3 linked regions of the Mus musculus genome follow. The protein of the gene in region 1 purifies or fractionates together with the protein of each later gene. This does not show direct contact. Links are inferred from orthologs where the notes say so. Each region holds a gene or a part of one and is shown in the gene's direction. Other genes may lie near its edges. The genes, in order: Mtf2, Ezh1 and Jarid2.

Evidence for each region.
Region 2: the proteins of Mtf2 (region 1) and Ezh1 purify together in Homo sapiens (affinity purification with mass spectrometry; 3 studies listed by BioGRID and IntAct, with this or other methods). This does not show direct contact. The link is inferred for Mus musculus from reciprocal best matches to the Homo sapiens genes MTF2 and EZH1.
Region 3: the proteins of Mtf2 (region 1) and Jarid2 purify together in Homo sapiens (affinity purification with mass spectrometry; 3 studies listed by BioGRID and IntAct, with this or other methods). This does not show direct contact. The link is inferred for Mus musculus from reciprocal best matches to the Homo sapiens genes MTF2 and JARID2.

What each region holds. Positions count from the first base shown.
Region 1 is NC_000071.6:108,063,239-108,070,773, forward strand, and holds the start of Mtf2 (metal-response element-binding transcription factor 2), read left to right. Parts: upstream 1-2,435; 5' UTR 2,436-2,722; coding exon 2,723-2,727; intron 2,728-4,221; exon of another isoform or gene 4,222-4,334; intron 4,335-5,923; exon of another isoform or gene 5,924-6,087; coding exon of another isoform or gene 6,088-6,125; exon of another isoform or gene 6,126-6,285; intron 6,286-7,535. UniProt on the Homo sapiens protein: Polycomb group (PcG) protein that specifically binds histone H3 trimethylated at 'Lys-36' (H3K36me3) and recruits the PRC2 complex, thus enhancing PRC2 H3K27me3 methylation activity.
Region 2 is NC_000077.6:101,193,738-101,200,812, reverse strand, and holds part of Ezh1 (histone-lysine N-methyltransferase EZH1), read left to right. Parts: intron 1-826; coding exon 827-867; intron 868-1,429; coding exon 1,430-1,555; intron 1,556-5,115; coding exon 5,116-5,294; intron 5,295-5,831; coding exon 5,832-5,927; intron 5,928-6,263; coding exon 6,264-6,345; intron 6,346-7,006; coding exon 7,007-7,075.
Region 3 is NC_000079.6:44,900,014-44,907,088, forward strand, and holds part of Jarid2 (protein Jumonji), read left to right. Parts: intron 1-2,212; coding exon 2,213-3,245; intron 3,246-6,219; coding exon 6,220-6,722; intron 6,723-7,075.

The sequences.
Region 1 (7,535 bases):
CAGGGTTGGGGGAGAGAATGACAGGGACTGAGGGATGCTGGGAGAATCTGCAGGCCAGGTCTGTTTGGGTATGTAAAATATGCAACTCAGTCCATGTACTGTGGTACAAAACCAATCACTCATGTCTACATAGGAAAAAAATTAAAGAGGTGTCAAGCACAGGTGGTGGCGCACGCCTTTGATCCCAGCACTTGGGAGGCAGAGTCAGGAGGATCTCTGAGCCTGAGGTCAGCCTGGTCTACAGAGTGAGTTCCAGGACAGCCAGAGCTATACCCATCTCAACAAACAAACAAACAAACAAACAAACAAACAAACAAACAGAAAAAAGGTGTCTTAGAGTTCTTTAATTTACAAAGTATTAGATCACTTTTTGTGACCAAAGGTGCCAAAGTTTAGGTCAGAAAGTGTAAAGCAGATTATGTTTCCTTGTATCGAGTTTTAAATTATGGCACCCACCTGATGTATAGTTTGTTTTCAAGATTTATATTTACTTATTTTATGTATATGTATAAGAGAGTCCTTCTCTTCAGACACACCAGAAGAGGGCATCGGATCCCATTACAGTTTATGACCCATTGTGTGGTTGCTGGGAATTGAACTCAGGACCTCTGGAAGAGCAGTCAGTGCTCTTAACCACTGAGCCATCTCTCCAACCTCTTTTAAAAGACTTACCTATTTTTATTTTATGTACTATGCTGTTTTGCCTCTTAGAATTAGAGCTAAAGACACTGTGATCTGTCATGTGGGTGCTGGGAATTGAACACAGGTACTCAAGAGCTCTTAACTACTGTGTGTGTGTGTGTGTGTGTGTGTGTGAGAGAGAGAGAGAGAGAGAGAGAGAGAGACAGAGACAGAGACAGAGTGTGTGTGTGTGTGTGTGTGAGAGAGAGAGAGAGACAGAGACAAGAGAGTGTGTGTGTGTGTGTGTGTGTGTGTGAGAGAGAGAGAGACAGAGACAGAGAGACAGAGACAGAGAGAGAGAGTGTGTGTGTGTGTGTGAGAGAGAGAGAGAGACAGAGACAGAGAGAGTGTGTGTGTGTGAGAGAGACAGAGAGAGTGTGTGTGTGTGAGAGACAGAGAGAGACAGTGTGTGTGTGAGAGAGTCAGATACAGAGACACATGAGAGAGAGAGAGAGACAGAGAGAGAGAGAAAGAGGGAGAGACACAGATTGATATAATGTACTGAATAAAATATACTGTATAATACAAAGCTAGCCATGGTGGCTCAGGCCTTTTAATCCCAGTACTGAGGAGGCAGAGACAGGAAGATCTCTGTGAGCTTGAGGCAAGCCTGGTCTACACAATGAGTTCCAGGACAACCAGAGCTATATAATAGATAGACTCTGTCTTCAAAAAAGAAAAAAAAATGTAGTATAATATGAATATGCCTATTTGCCAGATTTTTCAGAACCTAGGTAAAGGGAACTCTTTTTTGTTTTGTTTTGTTTTGTTTTTCGAGACAGGGTTTCTCTGTATAGCCCTGGCTGTCCTGGAACTCACTCTGTAGACCAGGCTGGCCTTGAATTCAGAAATCTGCCTGCCTCTGCCTCTCAAGTGCTAGGATCAAAGGCGTGCGCCACCACCGCCCAGCTTAAAGGGAACTCTTGAAATATGAGTGAAAGGAATTTAGATCATAAGAGGTATTTCTTCAGAGAGAAAATTCAGTACTGCCTCTGTGACATAATCTGTGATAAAAAGTATATGACTCTGAAAATATTTTCACAAAATAGAAACGTATTACAGGTGTTTCTATAAGTGCTGGGTTGCATTCAAATATAAGTCAAAGATATAAGCATGCATTCCATTTATCAGCTGGGCCTCATATAAAAGCCTGCAATAGTATGAAAGTTGTGTGTTCCTTCAATCAACTGCTTTGCAGGAGGGTATGCTCAAATTTCACTACAATTAGGAAAGGTCACAAAGCAGGTAAACAGGGAAAAAAAAATCTCGTTCATCGTCAGAGGAAAAAAAAGTGAAAATCTCCCATTACAGATTCCAGATAAGTTTGGATTTGGATAGTATTCATTGAACGAAATTTGCCATCCAGGGTCTCCTCCCCACTTAAGGGGATTATAACAGCAGGCCTCTAGGTGAAGGTAAAAGAAAAGTATTTTTTCCAGTTAATAATTTCCTTTCTTCAGAAAGGAAATCACCCCATCAAGATGTACTGAGCAATATCCTATTTCTGAGGGCATTAAAAAAGACCGCACGAAAGACTGGACACGATCTCTCTTTTTAAAAGACCTAGTAAGGCAAGCATCAGCGTCGGGAAGCGCTGCGCTCACTATTGTGTCTGCACCGGCAGCAAGAGGACTTAATTCCACCGCGACGTTAAAGAGTCCCTCTTTGTTCAGCGCTGGTCCGGGACGCAGGGCGCGGTGTTCCTCCGCGCTCGCCGCGCAGGCCCCGCCCCTCTGCGGCTCTGGAGAGCTGCCATTCGGCCCCGGAGTAGCTCCGCGCTCCCAGAATGCACCGCTAGTCCGCGGGAAACCAAAATGGCGAAGGGCTGTTGCGAAGTGGTCTGTGTTTGAGGCCGGTGTGAGCACGCACATTCTCCTTCCTAACCCTCGTCCCCAAGGAACTCGGTGTGTGTGTGCGTGTGCGCAGGGCTCCCGCTGGGGCGGGTGCCCAGGGAGTGCCCGGACTCGCGGGGGAGCGCCCACGGGAACGAGATTGCTTCTATTTTCCTGTATGAAGCGGTTGGCACCACTTAAGTGACCGAATGAGGTGAGAGACCTTGGCCTGGGAACCGACTCTTTGGGAGGAGGTTGGGATGAGGAGAGACGAAAGAAAGGAAGCAAAAGAAAGGGGAAAGATGGAGGCTCCGCTTTGGGCAAGGGAGTCCTGTGTGGGGGTGTTTTTGCATTGATGCATATGTTGAAAGAATGGATCGGGAGGGGTAGTCAGTGAGATGTTGGTAAAAATAGGGACTGGGGGAAGGAGCGGGGCGCCCCGCTCGGGAGTCAGTTGGTGGAATTAGATAAAACGTTGAGACAGGGAAGCTGTGTTTGGAGGGCAGGAAGGAACCTGGGGGCGGGAGACGGTTGGAGGGGCAGGATGAACCTGGTGATGAGGGGGTGGGGAACCGAGGGGAGGAGCCGTCAGAATGCGGGGAGCCTAGTAGAGGGGCTGACTGGCACTTTAAGGGGTGCTAAGGAAAGTAGCAGTTTGGAACCAGAGGGTGCTGGAATTGTGTGGAATTGTGGTAGGGGAATCTAGTGGTGGGCTAGATAGCTAGCGTACGAGGATGAGGAAAATACCCTGGAAAGCAAGCCCTGGAAGCTTAAAGAGAAGAAGTGATAGGTGAATTGATACGGGGAAGAGATAGCTTTTATTTGGAGGCATTTCTTCCGTTCAATTAAAATTTCTTGCCCTGATAATTTGTATTCATCATTACAACTTAGTTACTTACGGCACTAAGGGGTTTAACCAAAATTTTCCAGGATTTCTTAACACATTTCCATAGTGCCAGAACTCTTAACTGTGATTTACAATCTGCAGTCCTTGGTGGTTAATTTTTTCTTTGGCAGAGATGGATTTATTGAGTGGTACGAGAGATTGTGAACAATAGGAAAAGGGGTATGGAATGCTGTTTTATTCTTTAAAACCTTTAACTTTGGTTGAAGATATTACCATGCAACAGTAGTTAGAATTTGAAAACCCAGACAAGCCTGTAATTGACATAGAAAAGTACCTCATGAGATCAAAGTAGAGCTAGAAATATGTTAGTGGTTGGTTGACTCCGTTTTCTCTAGCAGCAAGTACTTTCTCCTTCAAATAGATTCCATGTAATCTTCATAGGAACTTCTGCAGACTGTTTTCAGCCTTTATGTTTTAATTTTTCTTTTGGGAATTTCTTTTTTGGGAGAGAATTGTGGGTAAAAAAACTGATTCTTTTTAGGATGCTGGATAATACTTTAAATGTTTATTTTTTTATTTAATGTATATAAGCACACTATTGCTGTCTTCAGACACATCAGAAGAGGGCATCAGATCCCATTACAGATGGTTGTGAGCCACCATGTGGTTGCTGGGAATTGAACTCAGGACCTCTGGAAGAGCAATCGGCACTCTTAACCACTGAGCCATCTCTCCAGCCCCCTGGACAATGCTTTAAGTGGAGGATTTTTGTTTTTTGTTTTTTTGTTTTTCCTTTTTAAGTTTTGAAGCAGGGTCTCGTTATATAACTCTGGCCAGCCTGGAACTCACTTTGTATTCCAGACTGGCTTGAAAAGACAGATCTGTCTGCACCTGCACACTGAATGCTGATGGAGATCACTACCATGCTCGGCTGTTATTACTTTACTTGAGTTCACATCAGCAACTATCATTGGGTATGCAACTATATTTAAATGTGTACTGTGGAGATTTCTTTTCCTTTTGTTTTCTCCTTTTCTTATTTATTTATTTATTTATTTACTTACTTATTTATTTATTTTTGGAGACAGGGTTTCTCTGTATAGCCCTGGCTGTCCTGGAACTCACTTTGTATAGACCAGGCTGGCCTTGAACTCAGTAATCCACCTGCCTCTGCCTCCCAAGTGCTGGGATTGAAAAATTGCCTGGCGAATTTTTTTTCCTTATTTGTTCAAAAAGTATATATTGGGGACTTTGTGTCATATGTGGTCTTAAATATTAAAAATACCGTTGTTGAACAATAGACATGTTCAGAGCTCATGTAGAGTATGCAGTTTGATTTTTGAGCAATGAGTAATGATAGAATGAACACACAAACACAAACGTGTACATGGGTGCACAGGCATACGTGGCAAGCACCATTTAACACCTTCAAGTTACACAATTGATATTTGATGGTAGTAATGATGAAAGTACAAAATAGATTCATAATGGAGTATGCAATTGAGATAGCTGAATTCAAGACAGTAATACAGCTGAGATTAAAGAAGACAAACATTCTGTCAAATGAATACACCCTGAATTTTGGGGAAAAATGTATAAGACATTTAAAAATTAAAAAAAAATGCATATGTGGTGGGGGAGGGTTAGGGGGGTATGTGCTACTGTCCATGGAGGCCAGAAGCATGAGAGTCATAGGTGGTTGTGAGCTGCCTAATAAGTGCTGGAAACCAAACTCAGTTCTTCTCCAAGAGTAATATGTGTTTTTAATGGCTGAGACATGTCTCTAGCCCCCATAAAGGATATTTTTCACCAGTTATAGTGGTTTTAAAATTTAACCTGCTGTAATGAATGCATTTTTCATTTTCTGTTTTATTTTAAGACTTAAAAAAAAAAAGATTATGTGTTTGAGTACACTATAGCTGTCTTCAGACACACCAGAAGAGGGTGTCAGATCCCATTACAGATGGTTGTGAGCTACCATGTGGTTGCTGGGAATTGAACTCAGGACCTTTGGAAGAATAGTCAATGCTCTTAACTGCTGAGCCATCTCTCCAGCCCCAACTTATTTTTATGTATATGAAGATTTTTGCCTGCATGTATATGTGTGCACCACATGGGAGCAGTGCCCACAGAGGCCAAAAGAAGGTGGTTTATTCCTTTGGAACTGGAGTTAGAAATGGTTGTAAGTTGCCATGTTAATGCTGGGAATCAAAGGCCCTGGAGATTGAACTCAGGTCCTCTGGAAGGACAGCCAGTACTCCTACTTCTGAGCCATCTCTACAGTCTAAGAATGAATTTCTTGACAGCAGATAGGGGCAGAAAGATCCAAAGTTCAAGGCTATTCTTAGCTATATATGAATTCGCAGCTAGCCTGGGACACATGAGGCCCCATTTGGGAAAAAAAGTAGAAATGATTACCAGGGGCTAAATAATAATCATAATATAATCATATCATAAAAGTAGGACTTAGACATAAAGTGATGGTTTAACTTCATTGTCAATTTGATTAGATTCAGATTCACCATGGAAATATACCTCTGGATATGCCTATGATTGTTTTCAGAAAGGTTTAACTGAGGAGGGAAGACCCACCCTGACTATGTGAGGCCACCATACCCATGGGCTGGGGTCCTGGATTGAATCAAATGGAGGAAGCAAGCTGAGCATGAACATTGACCTTCCTGACTGCAGATATCAGTGCGATAGCTGTCTCCTGCTTCTTCTACTATGCCTCCCCCTTCCATGATGGACTGTACTCTGAAACTGTGAGCCAAAATATACACTTTTTTTATGTTGTTTTTGTCAGAGTTTTTTACACAGCAATGAGAAAAATACTGAATGCATATATTAATAAAATTTCAAGACATGAAGAACAAAGGACTGTGGCTCAGTAGAGTAAGATTTTTCATCCTAGTGCTGAGTATAGTAAGTGAACAGCACCAGACTTTCTTTACAGAGGGAAATTCTTTACAATGTAAAGTTCTGTGTGTAGGAACTGAATGAGTCAGTTGTTATTTATTGCTTGGCCTCACCTGGCACTCCTGTGTTGAAACTTTGTTCCTTTCCTAGCTAGGACTACAGGTTCCTGCTACTCTACCAGTGAGTTGCAATGAGGACTGAGATATTTGTAGGTCTAGAAGAAGACCTTAGAGAAGCTTTGTGCACATATCCTTTTACTGTATGCCACGTCTCTAGCCAAAGAGTATGTGATCCAGAAAGCTTTGGCGTGGTGTGAACAAGGCCCAGCAATCCCAGATTGATGCAGAAACATTGTGAGCTCTAAAAGCAATGGTTATTCGTGGAAAGGGAAAGAAATTTAAATTATCTTTGACAACTTAAAAATGAAGTGTTAATAGGATATATTAAGGATTCTGGGCAAACAGTTTGTCCTATTCTGGTTTGTTTCTATCTTTTTTTTTTCTTTGATGTGATGCCTGTAATCTCATGAGAAAGATAAAGAGTATGGGTTTTGGTAGTGGGGAGGATCTAGGAGCAGTTGGGGGTAGGGGAAGTCATAATCGGAATATACTGTATGGAAAAAATCTACAATGAAAAAAAGTGTGACTAGAAATAGAGTAAGTACACTTTGTTTGGTTTTAAGAAAGAGTCTCATGTAGCCTAGCCTGGTCATGAACTCCTGATTCTAGAGCTAGGATCGCAGGTTGTATGCCAGTTAATACTACTACTATTAAGTAGTATTTCAGTGGTTAATTTTTTTTTCCTCCCCTTCTCTCTTCTTGCTTATGGTTTTATGGAATGGTCTCCCATCTCTTGCAAAGGGAAGTTTCTTGATGAGGAGTGAGAACTACACTTAACTGGGCATAAGTAAAAATATTTAGGATATAGTTAGGGGTTGATTATGCTGGTTTAGTAAATGATAGTTGTAGGTTCTCCACTAAGATCCCTGACTTCACTAGTCCTAGGTAGTTGACTAGATTTCCATTATTAACACAAGTTTTTTCTCTCTGAGTAGGGTCTTAAGTCCAGTTAGAGTTACTGGTTACCACCAAGGTATGCATTCCACTGCTGCACCATAAAGGTTATTGTGCCAGCTGTTATAGCTGGGTAGGAAGGGCTGTTGCTTCCTTCATTTGGCAGCTTGCATGGCACCTTCTGGAAACATGAAGCTAGTCAGTTCTAGTTTAGGTGTCTCTGGTCCCACTGTCTGAAGTTCA
Region 2 (7,075 bases), on another chromosome or scaffold:
TAAGGCTCCTAAGGTTATCTGTGCTCTGACCTCCTTGGGGACACCCCTTGCCTGTCCACTTGGTCACTCACTGCACTGGGCAGAACCAGCCCATCTTATTGGGACGCTCAGATGAGAGACTCTGTCTTCAGAACTCCCTCAAGTCCTGTGACTAGGTCCAGCTCTTCCCTGTGCCCACACTGAGGACATGGCTGGCCTCTGCCTCTGCACTAAGATTATTTCCCCTTTCTTGGGTGTTGACCATCTTCCCCACTCTGCAGAGTTTGTCCCTTTTCTTTATAGTGTTGTTTTTCAGAGTTACATAGTGCTGTTTATTGGTTGGAAGTTAGAAAAACAAATAGCTGAGTGTGGTTATATACTTTTAATCCCAAAACTGAGAGGCAGATGGATCTCTGTTCAAGGCTAGCCTGGTCTACATAAATAGTGTCAGGTCAACCAGAAGTACATGGTGAGACCCTGTCTAAAAGATAACAAGCATCACTCTGATGATGGCCAGGTGACAAGTAAAGGAGGTGGCTCTAGCTCTAGCTACGAAGGAATTCCCTTCTGCTCTTCTCCTGCCAGCCTCTTCACTGTGGGCTTTTCCTCCTACCATCTTGGAGTTCTGCCGGGCAAGGGGAGAAGTGGCAAGAGGGAGAAGCAGTAATGCGAGACAGCTTTGTGACTTTGATTTGTCTGGGTTTTTGTTATTTTGGTGTTTTGGGAGGAGGAGCCTCCTGCTAAAGAACTCAGAAAGAGCACCTTACAGTTGTCCAGCTAGAGCAGGACAGTCATGTGTCTTCAGAGGACCACAACTCAGACCTATTCTTCTTTCTTTTTCTCCTAGGTTGTGGGCCGCACACTGCAGGAAAATTCAGCTGAAGAAAGGTAAGTTCAGTAGAAAAAAGGTGGGGTTTAGATCAGAGTGGAGTGCATGCTTAGCGTGTTCAAGGTCATGGGCTCCATCTTAGGTGCCTTGCTCATAGAAACATATACACACACACCCTGAGTTCAGATTAAGGCCTCACCCTGTGGTTATCACTCTGCTGCACCTATAGCTCTCTTGTTGGCCCTAGCTGCTTCTACAGATTGCAGATTTCTTTGCAGCATCGTCAGGGCTGAGCCAATGACTACAGCCGAGATGCTGTCTCAGAAGATAAACTTAAAGCCTTGTGGTCTCTTGAGTTTCCTAGTGTGCTGTTTGCCAGTTCCAGACCTCTTTTCATGTTTAGAGTAGCTGCCTTGTTATCTAGGACCATCTCTGCACCCTACCCACAAAGCAGATACTCTGTTGTTTACGCACAGGGGTCAGCTACATTATCAAGTGCTGAGTGTGGCCAGGGTCATAGTTGGGACAAGCCTTCTTTGACATGAGGCGCTGGAACATTTGGGGGATAGGGCATCAAGGTAGCCTTGTTGCAACAATGTCCTGCTCTTTTCTCTTTTTTAGATAACAATTCTACACAAGTGTATAACTACCAACCCTGTGACCACCCAGACCGTCCGTGTGACAGCACATGCCCCTGCATCATGACCCAGAACTTTTGTGAAAAGTTCTGCCAGTGCAGCCCAGACTGTAAGAGCACCCTGCTTTCACCATCGTCTACCCAAGTGGTTGGCCTTGGAGTGCCCAGACTCTTTTCTCCTGCCCCTTAGCTGCCTGGAGACTTTTAATATCCCTTTGCTGTGCTGCAGGCATCCTACAGGGAGGAAAGGTGTGATCTCCCATGTTGTGGGGGTTGCTCTGTTCTATTTTCTGATTTTTAATTTTAAAACTTCATTATTTTATGTATATGAGTGTTTTCCCTGCATGTATGTCTGTATTGTGGGGCATGCCTGTTGTCCAAGAAGGTCAGAAGAGGGAATAAGATCCCCTGGTACTGGAGTTAGACAGTTGTGAGCCACCATGTGGGTGCTGGGAGTCAATCTCAGGTCCTCTGGAAGAGCAGCCATTGCTCCTAGCTGCTGAGCCGTCTCTCCAACCCCTGTTCTACCCCCAACTCCTGAGGTCACAAAGTCTCAAAAAAAACCTAAACACTGGGTGGTGGTGGTGGCCATCTTTACCTCTAGCACTCCAGAGGCAGAGGTAGGTGACCCTCCCAAGTTTGAGGTCAGCCTGGTCTACAGAGTGATTTTGAGTTCCAGGACAACCAGGGCTGCATAGAAAAGCCCTGTCTCAAAAACACGTTCCCCCACCACCAAAAAACGTCTTTTCTCTCCCTCCCATCTCCTGCCTTCTTCTTTCTCCCCACCCACTCTGTATTTTCAAGCAAATTTCCTTTTTTCCACCTCATAGGTAGCTGAGATTACAGATGTGTGCCATCTTTCCTAGCTGTGAAAGTAATGTAAGCCTTCAGGGTGGGGTTCAGGAAGCAGGAACTAGACATGAGGCTTCTCCATCTTGTTCACAGGAGAGCTGAGAAGTGGGAGCTTCTGCACTCAGGGTGCACCATCCTCATCAGGATGGTGGGTTTTGCAAGTGTAGAGCCAGAGAGATGGCTCAGTGGTTAACAACACTTCCTGCTCTTCTGGAAGACCTGAGTTTGGTTCCCAGCCCCCATATCAGGCAGTTTACAACCACCTGTGATTCCGGCTCCAGGAGATCTGACACCTTCTGTCCTTGGACATCCACGCACACTTAACATACACATACACATAAATAAAAATAAAAGTGAACAAAAAAGATACATGGGTTGAGTGTGGTAGTGTGTAACTGTAATTAGGTCTGGACCTCCACTGTGGGAGTCTGAGGCAGGAGGATCAGTGTTCAAGGCCAACCTGTGCTACTAAGGAAACTATGTCTTAACAACACCTACCACCTCTAGGTTTGTTTAGGTAGATACAGGAGCACTTATAGAGCTGGTTATAGAACCAGCTCTAGCATTGGGAGAATGATGCAGGCCTTGTACCCAGGTTAAACCCCGCCCCAAAAGAGAGAACAGGAGAGGGAGGGAGATAGGAAAGAGGAGAAGAAAAAGGAGAACAGCCGAGGCCGTTCTTCAGGAAAAGGCAATACAATGAATTTGCCAGGAAGCCTTGGTTAGATCTGGAAGCACGTGAGGAAAGGAAAGAACAGATTCTTGGACTGTCCTCTTAGCTCCACCCACATGCACACACCTACTGAGTATGTAATTAAAGGGAAACGTTTGGGGGAAAGAAAAAGAATACATGCACAGACCTCGGGGATGACCTTGACCTCCCGCTCCTCTTACCCCCACCTCCTGGATGCTGGGATTACAGGTGTGCGCCATCACACTGGACCCATACAGGTTCTTTATGTCCACAGTAACTGCAGAGTGACTATTAGACTAGCTGTTGAATCTATGACCTGTCCTTGCTATGCTTTGTCTGTATACTCCACCCTGGCTGAAGTTCTTTTAGAACTCTTTCTTTTCCCCCAGCATATATTAAGTAAGCTGGATAAAGAACATTGATTTCAATATTTTCATATTAGCTGCAGTTTATTTTGTTGTTGTATTTTGTTTTGTTTTGTTTGGGGGGGGGGGGGTCGAGACAGGGTTTCTCTGTATAGTCCTGGCTGATCCTGGAACTCACTCTGTACACCAGGCTGGCCTCGAACTCAGAAATCCACCTGCCTCTGCCTCCCGAGTGCTGGGATTAAAGGCGTGCGCCACCACGCCCGGCTTTTGTTTTGTTTTGAGACAGGATCTTAGTATGCAGTCCTGGATGGCCACAGACTCACAGAGATCTACCTGTCTCTGCCTCCTGAGTGGTAGGATTAAAGGCGTGCACCGACATACTCAGCTGAAGAGTTTTTGTACATCTGATAGGAGGGCCTGGCGTAGGTGCATACTGTTCTCATGGAACCCTAGATTGGTTCCCAGCACCCACATCAGGCAGCTTACAAGGAAGTGTAACTTTAGCTCTGAGGGTTCTAATGCCACCTTTTGGCCTCCAAGGGCTTTTGCACTCAGGTATACATACTCACCCAAAGATACACACATATAATTAAAATTAAGAATAAATGTGTAGGGAGCTAGAGAGCCGGCTCAGTGGTTAAAAGCAGAGAGCATGGGTTCTGTTTCCAGCACCCTCATAACCAGCTATAACTCAACTCACAGAATCTGCTGCTTTCTTCTGGCCTCTGTGGTGATTCAAGCATGTGTTTCACATGGATACGTGGGCACACACATCAAATAAAAATACATACATACATACTTACTATTTACATGGGTGTGCACATATCTGGTAGGAGACAGGGTAGGAGGTGTCAGCAGAAAAATAGTTCTCCACTTCTTACCCACCTTAACCTTTCCTCATTTTTCCTGCTTGTGGCCAAGCAATAGATGGCAGCCTCTGGGTTTGCAGAGGGCAGTACCCAGGCCTCTGTGCTGTGATTGTCACCTGACAAGGAAGAGATAGTGATCTCAGCCACAGTAGATAAGAGCTAGTGCTGCTGAGCTGTGGGCAGCGAGGACCGCACAGAGCGGATGCTGCGTTCGTTTCCGAAGACGGTGCTTGTTTTGATGAGGAGGCTTTACTGTGAAAAGCACTGATTTCATTTTCTTCTGGGTTCTTTCCACCTCAGTTCCAAATTCTGTCAACAAGGACGAGAGGGGGACCCTGTTAGGAAATCTCCAGGTGACACTTAATAGTCACACCTGCCTTTTTGTCTGTTGGGAATTAGTTCATAGTGTGTGTGTCTCTGTGTTAGCACACGCGTGCATGTGTGTGTGGCCAGAGGTTAACCTTGGGTGTCATTCGTGAGGAACCACCTACCTTGTTTTTCTAGATGGGATCTTTCACTGCAGCTAAGGGCTTGCTCATTAGCTAGGTTGTGTGGTGAGTGAGCGCCAGGAATCCATCCGTCTGCACTTTCCCTGCACTGGGGTTCTAAGCACATAGGTGGTTCCATGCCTGACATTTGTATATAGGTTCTGTGGATCAAAATTAGTTTCTCATGTTTACACGGTGAGTGCTTTAACAACTGAGCCATGTCCTGAGCCCTAACGGAGGCACTTCCTTGTCTTGAGGGAAAAGCCAGATGTTCAGGGGAAGGAACCTTCTGCCTGTTGTGCCAAGAGTCCTTGGACATGTCACATTCAGTTCTCTGCTCTCCCCGAGTCCGACCTGCATGAGTGCCCGCTTCCTAACCATCCCAATCTCCCCACTCAGGCCAGAATCGCTTTCCTGGTTGTCGCTGTAAGACTCAGTGCAATACCAAGCAATGTCCATGCTACTTGGCAGTTCGTGAGTGTGACCCTGACTTGTGCCTCACCTGTGGGGCCTCAGAGCACTGGGACTGTAAGGTGGTGTCTTGCAAAAACTGCAGCATCCAGCGTGGCCTCAAAAAGGTGAGGTCTTTTCTTGGGTCAAGATGACAGTGGGAAGGAGGAAATGTTACCAGGTGTCATTGTTCCTTTGGCTCCTCAGAGGGGTTGTATGTAAAAGTGCTTGACAGATCTTGTCAGTGGTCAAAGTAATCTAATTTTCCATTCTACCAAAAGGAGCAGAGGGGTATAGACCATTCTATTCCCCTGTGGTGTTGGGTTGAAGTCCAAGTCTCTGCACATGAGAGGCAAGCACTTTCCCTCTGGGCTCCACAGCCCCAGAGTTGCCCCTTCTACTGCCTACATTATGATGTATGCCCAGACTCAGCCCCGGAGGTCCACAAGGAAGAGGAAGAAAATATCCTGTTTCCTTTACCATTTCCAGTTTTTGTTCTTACCCCTCAAGAGTGAAATGGTTTGGACCTCTTCTGTTTTCAGGTTCCCCTGACAGTTGGTAGTTCTTTCCACCTGCCCCCGTCCCACACGTGCACATGAAGCACTCACACCCACTCACACCCGCCCACCCGCCCGCCATCTAAGGCTTGCCTCCCTCTCCCCCAGCACCTGCTGCTGGCCCCTTCCGATGTGGCCGGATGGGGCACCTTCATCAAGGAGTCTGTGCAGAAGAATGAATTCATTTCTGAATATTGTGGTGAGGTGAGTGTTCCAGGTTCAGCCCGTGTTCTTACTGGGAAGATACTGACAAGAAGCTCTCTGACTTTCTGTGGGTTAGGCTTCTGTGAATTCATCTCTAAATAACTCAGCCCAGTTTTCATGTGGCCTCTCAGGGGATCCCACAGAACTGTTTGCAATCCTGAAACAAACCACTGTTTGTCAAGTGTTGGTATCTTGCTCTCTCTAGCCTTCACCCTGGTCAGCTTTGGTGGAGAGGGCTAGCAGAGTCTTGCTCTCCTGCACTGCCCCTTCCCAGGTAGGACAGTGTCAGACCTCGAGCAGGCGAGACATCCACTTCTTCCTTGTTTACTCCTCCAGCTCATCTCTCAGGATGAGGCTGATCGTCGAGGGAAGGTCTATGATAAATACATGTCCAGCTTCCTCTTCAACCTCAACAATGGTATGGCATGGCCTTCTGTACCTAGGTGATCATGTGCAAGTCTTCACACTAAGCAGCCTTGGCTATGATCCAGGTTCCAATCAGCACTGACTCGACCGACTCTTAAAGCAGAGTGCTAAGCTGAGCTGGGAAGCCTCCTGGGCTCTGCTTCATTTCTGAGCTGTGTTAGGAATGGGAACATGGGCACTTGCACTTGAGAAGGTACCCTAACCAATAGGTGGGAGGAGATCCAAAATTCAGAGGGAGGACTCCAGGGGATGCTGTCTCATGAGGAGGCAGGCTGCACTTTCACATATTCTGTTACTATTCTGGGCTTCACGTTCCCATTAGATTAAATTGTTTCTGTTACCTCTTAACTGATCCTAAAGTAGAGCTACAGAATGGGGGATTGAAGCTAGGCACATTTCTGATGCCTATAACCCCAGCATTTGACAGGCTAGAACAAGAGAGCTACCACATATTTGAGGCCAGTCTGAGCTACAGGAGATCCTGTCTTCAACAAACAAAAATGGGCACAGTGGTACAGTCCTGAAGTCATAGCACTGGGCATGAGGGTTACAGTAAGTTCTGGGCCATCCTGGACCACAGAGCTAGACCTTGAACCCCCCCAAAGTATAGTTTCCTGGGACACTCATGATTTTCTTTGATTTATGTCATGTAGATTTTGTAGTGGATGCTACCCGGAAAGGAAACAAAATTCGCTTTGCAAACCATTCAGTGAACCCCAACT
Region 3 (7,075 bases), on another chromosome or scaffold:
TGGTTCCACATTTTAGGGGACTATTTCAAATTGTCATATTTTATGTAAAATCTTTAGCAAGCTTGTGGAATGGCCTGGTTGCTGATTTAGCTTGCTGCTGTATTGAACTGAGTGCCTCATATCTACATTAGAAAGCACTTACCAACGAAACCATCTTCTAGCCTTGTGTATTTACATCTAATTCATTGGTGTTACGTTGCCTCCCCCTCTTCTAAACTTAAAGTCATTTTCCCACTTTATTGCAGATCCCCTCTGTCATATCAGGCATACCTATCTAGTGGGCTGCTGTGTGCAATGTGCTGGCACTGCGGCACATAGCATTTGTCTCAGCAGTCATGAAGCAGATGCAGGTGGATCTCAAAACTTGAGACTAGCCTGATCTACTGAGTGATTTCTAGGCAAGCCATGGCTCTTCAGTGAGGCCCAAGTCCTACAATTTAGTTCTGGTGCCTCCCTAGAGGTAGGTACTGTCTCCAAAAGTTGGAGAAGCTCCAAGACCAAGTAAGGCTGTGGACTCTTAATCTATGTCACACCAAGCATTTATGTTTTTTACTGGACCATAGTAGATAGTTTATTGGCATTTATAGAAAACATCTAACTGGCTTCTGTACGGTTCTCCCATGTGTTGGTGTGGAGTGGGCTGTGAAACTTCATGTTGACTTTGTACAGCAGTTTTTCAAAGTGTGGTCCATAGACAGCAACAAAGCATCTCAAAAGACCTGACTGGAATTCCAAAATCTCCAGCCTCGTTACATCTGGAGGGGGCTTTGTAGACTTGAGGTGTTGGGAGGTGGCCTATTTGGACAGCCATGAACTTTTAATTTCCAGTGTTGGTTTGGATGTCAGCCAATTTGAACTATTTCGTTCATTCTACTGGAAGTTCCCAATCAGCCTGGGCTTACCACCCAGGACTCTTTGTTTGTTTGTTGATCGGTTTTTTTTGTTTGTTTGTTTGTTTTGGTTTGTTTTTTTTTGATTTTTCGAGACAGGGTTTCTCTGTATAGCCCTGGCTGTCCTGGAACTCACTTTGTAGACCAGGCTGGCCTCGAACTCAGAAATCCACCTGCCTCTGCTGGGATTAAAGGCGTGCACCACCACGCCTGGCACCACCCAGGACTCTTGTGGCAAGGGCAGGCGGATCGTGATTCAGCCTCAAGATGGCACCTTGTAGCTACCATTAGTAGCCTCAGCAAGACTGTTTCCCATCCACAAGCCAGGCCCCTGACTCAGCACTCTTTTGCAAAGAGGTCTCTGGTTTCTGTAATTGTGTATGTTTTATGGGCTCTTTTGGCACCATTAAAAGCCTGTTTCTTCTTGATTTTTAAATTCATGGTATAGATGACACCCATGAGACTAAATGTAACACCAAACTCACAGCTATGGTGATTGGTGTAAAATCACCTACCCTTAACTGATGAGTCTAACACCTCATTGTTCTTGTATTTGGAAATCAGTGGGCCTCTGGGGGTTCGGTGGTACCAGAACCACACTGTTCCATTCTTTGTGAATGAGGCAACTGTTTCACAGAATTTTTCCTTTGGTTTTCCATCTGTCAGATGGATGGCCAGTACAGGACAGCTGCCTCTATTTACCCAGTTTAACTGAAACCCAAATGAGGGCTTGCAAGGGGCAAGAAAATAGGAACCATTTGTGCAAAAGGGGGTTAGGCGTTTTGTAGCATCACAAAAGAAGTTAGTGTGCTGGGTTCTTGCTTTTTGTTTTTGTTTTTGCTGTTTTAGTAGCATTATTGGGTTTCATGTTCTGTGGGTCGGCCAGGCTGTTAACATGGAACACACAAAGGATAGCAAACAGCTGCTTTTGGAATAAGAAAAAAATATATTTCAAAAACTTATTGCACACCTTTCTTAAATGAACAGCATCTTGCTGTTGCAGGTTCCTGGGTAACTGATGGGTCAATAGAGAGGGTCTTTATTCTGGACCCTAAGCTTCCTGAAAGAGCCATCTAGAGAGATGTTAGGATGCAGACTCATCGGGGCCGAGCGCTAGGCAGGACTACACAGTGGGCTGCACAATGCTGTGTGTGGTATGAAACTCGTCATTCAGCTAGCACAGATTAATTCTTAGTGGGCTTTCTGCTGCTTATCGGATGTCCTCATGTCTCTTCTGAGCCAGCAACTGTAGAAGTCCTTTCTCACTGGATTTGCCTGGGTACTAATTCTTTCTCTTTCCCCTGCTTCTGCTGCCTCCATAGGTGTCTAAGGTAAATGGAGTCACTCGAATGTCATCTCTGGGTGCAGGTACAAACAGTGCCAAAAAGATCCGAGAAGTCAGACCTTCACCATCCAAAACTGTGAAGTACACTGCCACAGTGACCAAGGGGACTGTCACATACACCAAAGCCAAGAGAGAACTGGTCAAGGAAACCAAACCCAACCACCACAAACCCAGTTCAGCTGTCAACCACACAATCTCAGGGAAAACTGAAAGTAGCAATGCAAAAACCCGCAAACAGGTGCTATCCCTTGGGGGGGCGTCCAAGTCCACCGGGCCTGCTGCCAGTGGCCTCAAGGCCAGCAGCAGGTTGAACCCAAAGTCATGCACTAAGGAGGTGGGGGGGCGGCAGCTGAGGGAGGGGCTGCGGAATTCCAAAAGGAGACTGGAAGAGGCACAGCAAGTGGACAAGCCGCAGTCACCCCCCAAGAAGATGAAGGGGGTGGCAGGCAATGCTGAAGCCCCTGGCAAAAAGGCCTCAGCGGCTTCAGGAGAAAAGTCTCTGCTGAATGGACACGTGAAGAAGGAAGTGCCCGAGCGAAGTTTGGAAAGGAATCGGCCAAAGCGGGCCGCGGCTGGCAAGAATATGCTGGGCAAACAAGCACATGGCAAGACAGAGGGCACCCCCTGTGAAAATCGTTCTACCTCGCAACCCGAGTCCTCGCACAAGCCGCATGACCCACAGGGCAAGCCAGAGAAGGGGAGCGGCAAGTCTGGGTGGGCAGCGATGGACGAGATCCCTGTCCTCAGGCCCTCCGCCAAGGAGTTCCACGACCCGCTCATCTACATCGAGTCAGTACGTGCTCAGGTGGAGAAGTACGGGATGTGTCGCGTGATTCCCCCTCCAGACTGGCGGCCAGAGTGCAAGCTCAACGATGAGATGCGCTTTGTCACGCAGATCCAGCACATCCATAAGCTGGGCCGGCGCTGGGGCCCCAACGTGCAGCGGCTAGCCTGCATAAAGAAGCACCTCAGATCTCAGGGCATCACCATGGATGAGCTCCCCCTCATAGGTGAGTTAATTCGGGGATTGCCGGGTGGGTTCAGCTGGGCCGTCATCTCTAACTCGACAATAGTTGCACTTCTCAACTCATTTCCCTGCTCTTGTAGAACCTCTCTCTCTTTCGTAATAAGTTTGGGGCTTGCTCTTGGTGCTAGAGCCCCTGAGCTGCTGCTGCTGCTGCTGCTGCTGCTGCTGCTGCTGCTGCTGCTGCTGCTGCTGCTGCTGCTGCTGCTGCTGCTGCTGCTGCTGCTGCTGCTGCTGCATGGCTTTTTATTGCTCTAGAGTTGCTGTGGTTGGGCAGTGTCCAGGGAAGGGCTGAGGTCAGGCTGCTACAATGTGCCATGGCTTCAAAACCACAAATTAGGGGTTTCTAATTCTGCATGCTGGCAGGAGTGGTTTTTGCTAAATTGTCTCTGCCTTGTAGTAGGCCACCTGCACTTTGGTCCTCATAGAGTCTTTCCTCTGTATGTCTGTCTGGATATCTCCTTATAAGGACATCAGTCAGGCTGTAGTAAGGCCTACTTGGGTGACCTTATTTTAACTTAGTGGCTACTTTATAGACTCTTCCTCACAATACCATTCCATCCTGGGGTTTTAGGGTTTTGTACTTGTTAATATCAGCTTGGGTGGTCTTATATTTCACCTTACATGGATTATTCCTTTTTTTCTTTTCTTTTTTCTTTTTTTTTTAAAGTTTCTCTCTCTTAAGATTTATTTATTATTATATCCAAAGTACACTGTAGCTGTATTCAGACACACTAGGAGAGGGCGTCAGATCTCATTACGGATGGTTGTGAGCCATCATGTGGTTGCTGGGATTTGAACTCAGGACCCTCAGAAGAGCAGTTAGTGCTCTAAACTACTAAGCCATCTCTCCAGCCCCTTATTCCTTTTTCTTTTTTAGTTTGTCCTAGCATTCCAGTACAGACATTTCTAGTGAAGGCCAACTAGCTTTTACATTGAGGCCAGTCCTTCAAGGTGGCCAGCAGCTCCCCTCCCTGTGGGTTTCAACCCTTATGAATCAGTACAATGTCTGTGGTTGGGATGTATGGAGTAGCTCAGTAGTCAACCCAGGGACACAGTGACATTAACAGGTGGAGAGTTTATAACTCCTCTCCCAGGAGGCTGCCATTAACCATGCCTGATGGGTCTGTTGAAACTTGTTGGTTTGTCATCTCTTGCCAGTGTCAGTATGGGAGGAGCAGGCTTTGGATATAGGCCCATGGACGTGATCAGGAAGCCACACCCATTTAGCCCCACTGCTAGCCCTCTGGTAACCCAGAGGCAAGTGAGTAAGTCCTGCCTTAGAGAGCTCTGTGGTGCCACTCTTCTCTCCCTTCCAGTGCATAGTGCTTTTGTGTTGGGGAACAGGTGAGATGGCAGGTACAGTTGCCATAGTAACCCAGAGACTTGTCCCATAGTTTGTTGTTTTCCCCTGTAAGTCACGAGTCAGTTCATCATTACTCATCTGTATGTGCTTTGCCATTACCCATAGGATAAAAGCTACCCAGGGCCACTGATTTGGCCATGCAGGCTTCAGACCTAGCGCTTCCACTGGGTAGGACTCTGACTCCTGGGGAGCCTCTCTCCCAGAAGGCACTTAGTAAGTGAAGCCTTGATGGGTGGTACAGCCATGGAATGAGGGTTGACGTGTGTGTTTTTAGAGTTCTAAGGAACTTTGCAAGCACTGCATGTCACTTAGGACTGCATACATAGTTAATACTTTGATTTTGGAAGCACTGAAAAAGATACACTGTAGCGGGTGTGTTCTGGGCCGTGTTGGCTCGCAAGGAGCGTCTCATTCATGGAGGAAGACTTTGAAGATTCATGACAGAAATCTACCTTTATTTGCCAATGTGATTGTAGGACCACAAAGCTGCTGCTGCCTGCCCGTGCTGGGTCTGAGGTCCGTTTCCTCCCTCCCTCCCTATGCTCCCAGCCAAGTCAGTTCTGGTATTTGGTAGAGCAATAAATGGGATCTATGCTGCTGTCTCCATCTTACTGACAGGATAGTCTAGGGACTTAATCTGTAGACAGCTGGACAGAATAGGTGGTATAGGTCATGCAGCGCCCAGCCTGGTCCTGTACTGTGTCAACTAGTGGCATATCCCTTTATTAATTTAATTAATAATTAACTAATTTTATTTTATTGTCAATTTAGCCCTACTTTTGAAGATTGAAGAAATCCTTGTTTTGTTGTTTGTATTGCTTGGTTTTTGGTTTCACTGTGTTGTTGGTAGCTATTGCTCTTTTCAGTGATGTGGCTTCTCCATTTTCCATCCAGGTGGATAGAGAGATATAGTCTGTATTTAAACACATCTGAGATGGATTTGTTTCTTTGTTGGTTGTATTTTGGTTTGTTTGTCTGGCACAGGTTAGGCAAGTATTGTACCACTGACCCACTCAGCCCAGCTCCACTGACCCACACAGCCCAGCTCATATTTGAGTGTTGATAAACATTTAGACTCATCTTTTTGGAGATAAGTACCCTCTTGTCTTTTTTTCTTGGATGAGACAAAAAAGCCTTTCTGAGTGAAAGCTAGGCTATTTGGAAGAGACTTGGCTTTGATCACATGTGTCTGACCTTTCACAATATTGATGATGCAGTAAGCTATGGGGGAGCCCTGGCCATGCTCTGCTGTAGTCACCTGTACCCCTCTGTGTAGTAGTGCCCTGGTCTATGCTGAGCACAGCTTTGGTACCATTTCAGTGGTCCTCTCCTTCTGTGCATGGCTACCTCTTTCCTTCTGATCAATTCCTCAGATACTATTTCTGGTCACCTTCCTAAGATGATCATACCTTAGTTTGCTTGTCTCCTGGTACTTAGCCACGACTCTAAGCAGTGCTCAAAACTGTTTGTACATACAAGCTGGCTGCTGGCTGCTTTAGAGCAGCAGTTTTGTAGTAAGGCTTTCAGGACTAATAGGGCATAGGAAAACAACTTGTGATATCCTTGTTAACCATTTCACCCCATTGCTGCCCAGGAGGCTGTGAGCTCGACCTGGCCTGCTTTTTCCGGCTGATTAATGAGATGGGCGGCATGCAGCAAGTGACTGACCTCAAAAAATGGAACAAACTAGCAGACATGCTGCGCATTCCCAAAACTGCCCAGGACCGGCTGGCCAAGCTGCAGGAGGCCTACTGCCAGTACCTGCTTTCCTATGACTCCCTGTCCCCCGAGGAGCACCGACGGCTGGAGAAGGAGGTGCTGATGGAGAAGGAGATCCTGGAAAAGCGCAAAGGGCCATTAGAGGGGCACACGGAGAGCGACCACCACAAGTTCCACTCCCTGCCCCGCTTTGAGCCCAAGAATGGGCTCGTCCACGGTGTCACACCTAGGAATGGATTCCGTAGCAAGCTCAAGGAGGTGGGCCGGGCCCCACTGAAGACGGGCCGGCGGCGGCTGTTCGCTCAGGAAAAAGAAGTGGTCAAAGAGGAGGAAGAAGACAAAGGTGTCCTCAATGACTTCCACAAGTGCATCTATAAGGTGAGTGGGCTGTGCGGTAGGGTGTGCCCTGCCCTGCTGGAGCCGGAGGAAGCTGACTTGTTCTGTGGGATGAGCGCTAGGACGCTGTCTTAGGACTGTTCTGAGCTGCTGTGACCAAATATCACAGAGGAGACTTTCTGTGTTGCTTCTAGAGGTTGGGCTCTTTCTCATTTACAGCATTAGGTGAGTCTTTGGCAACACAGAACTGTCATGAAATGGCGTGCTCTCCATGCCTGTTGGTAGTTATTTAAAGCCGATACTATGATAGTATATTAAACCCCAGGAAATATTTCTTGTTGTTTTTATAAACCTGATATGTTAAATAAAGATTTAGTTGGAAAAAGCTGACATGG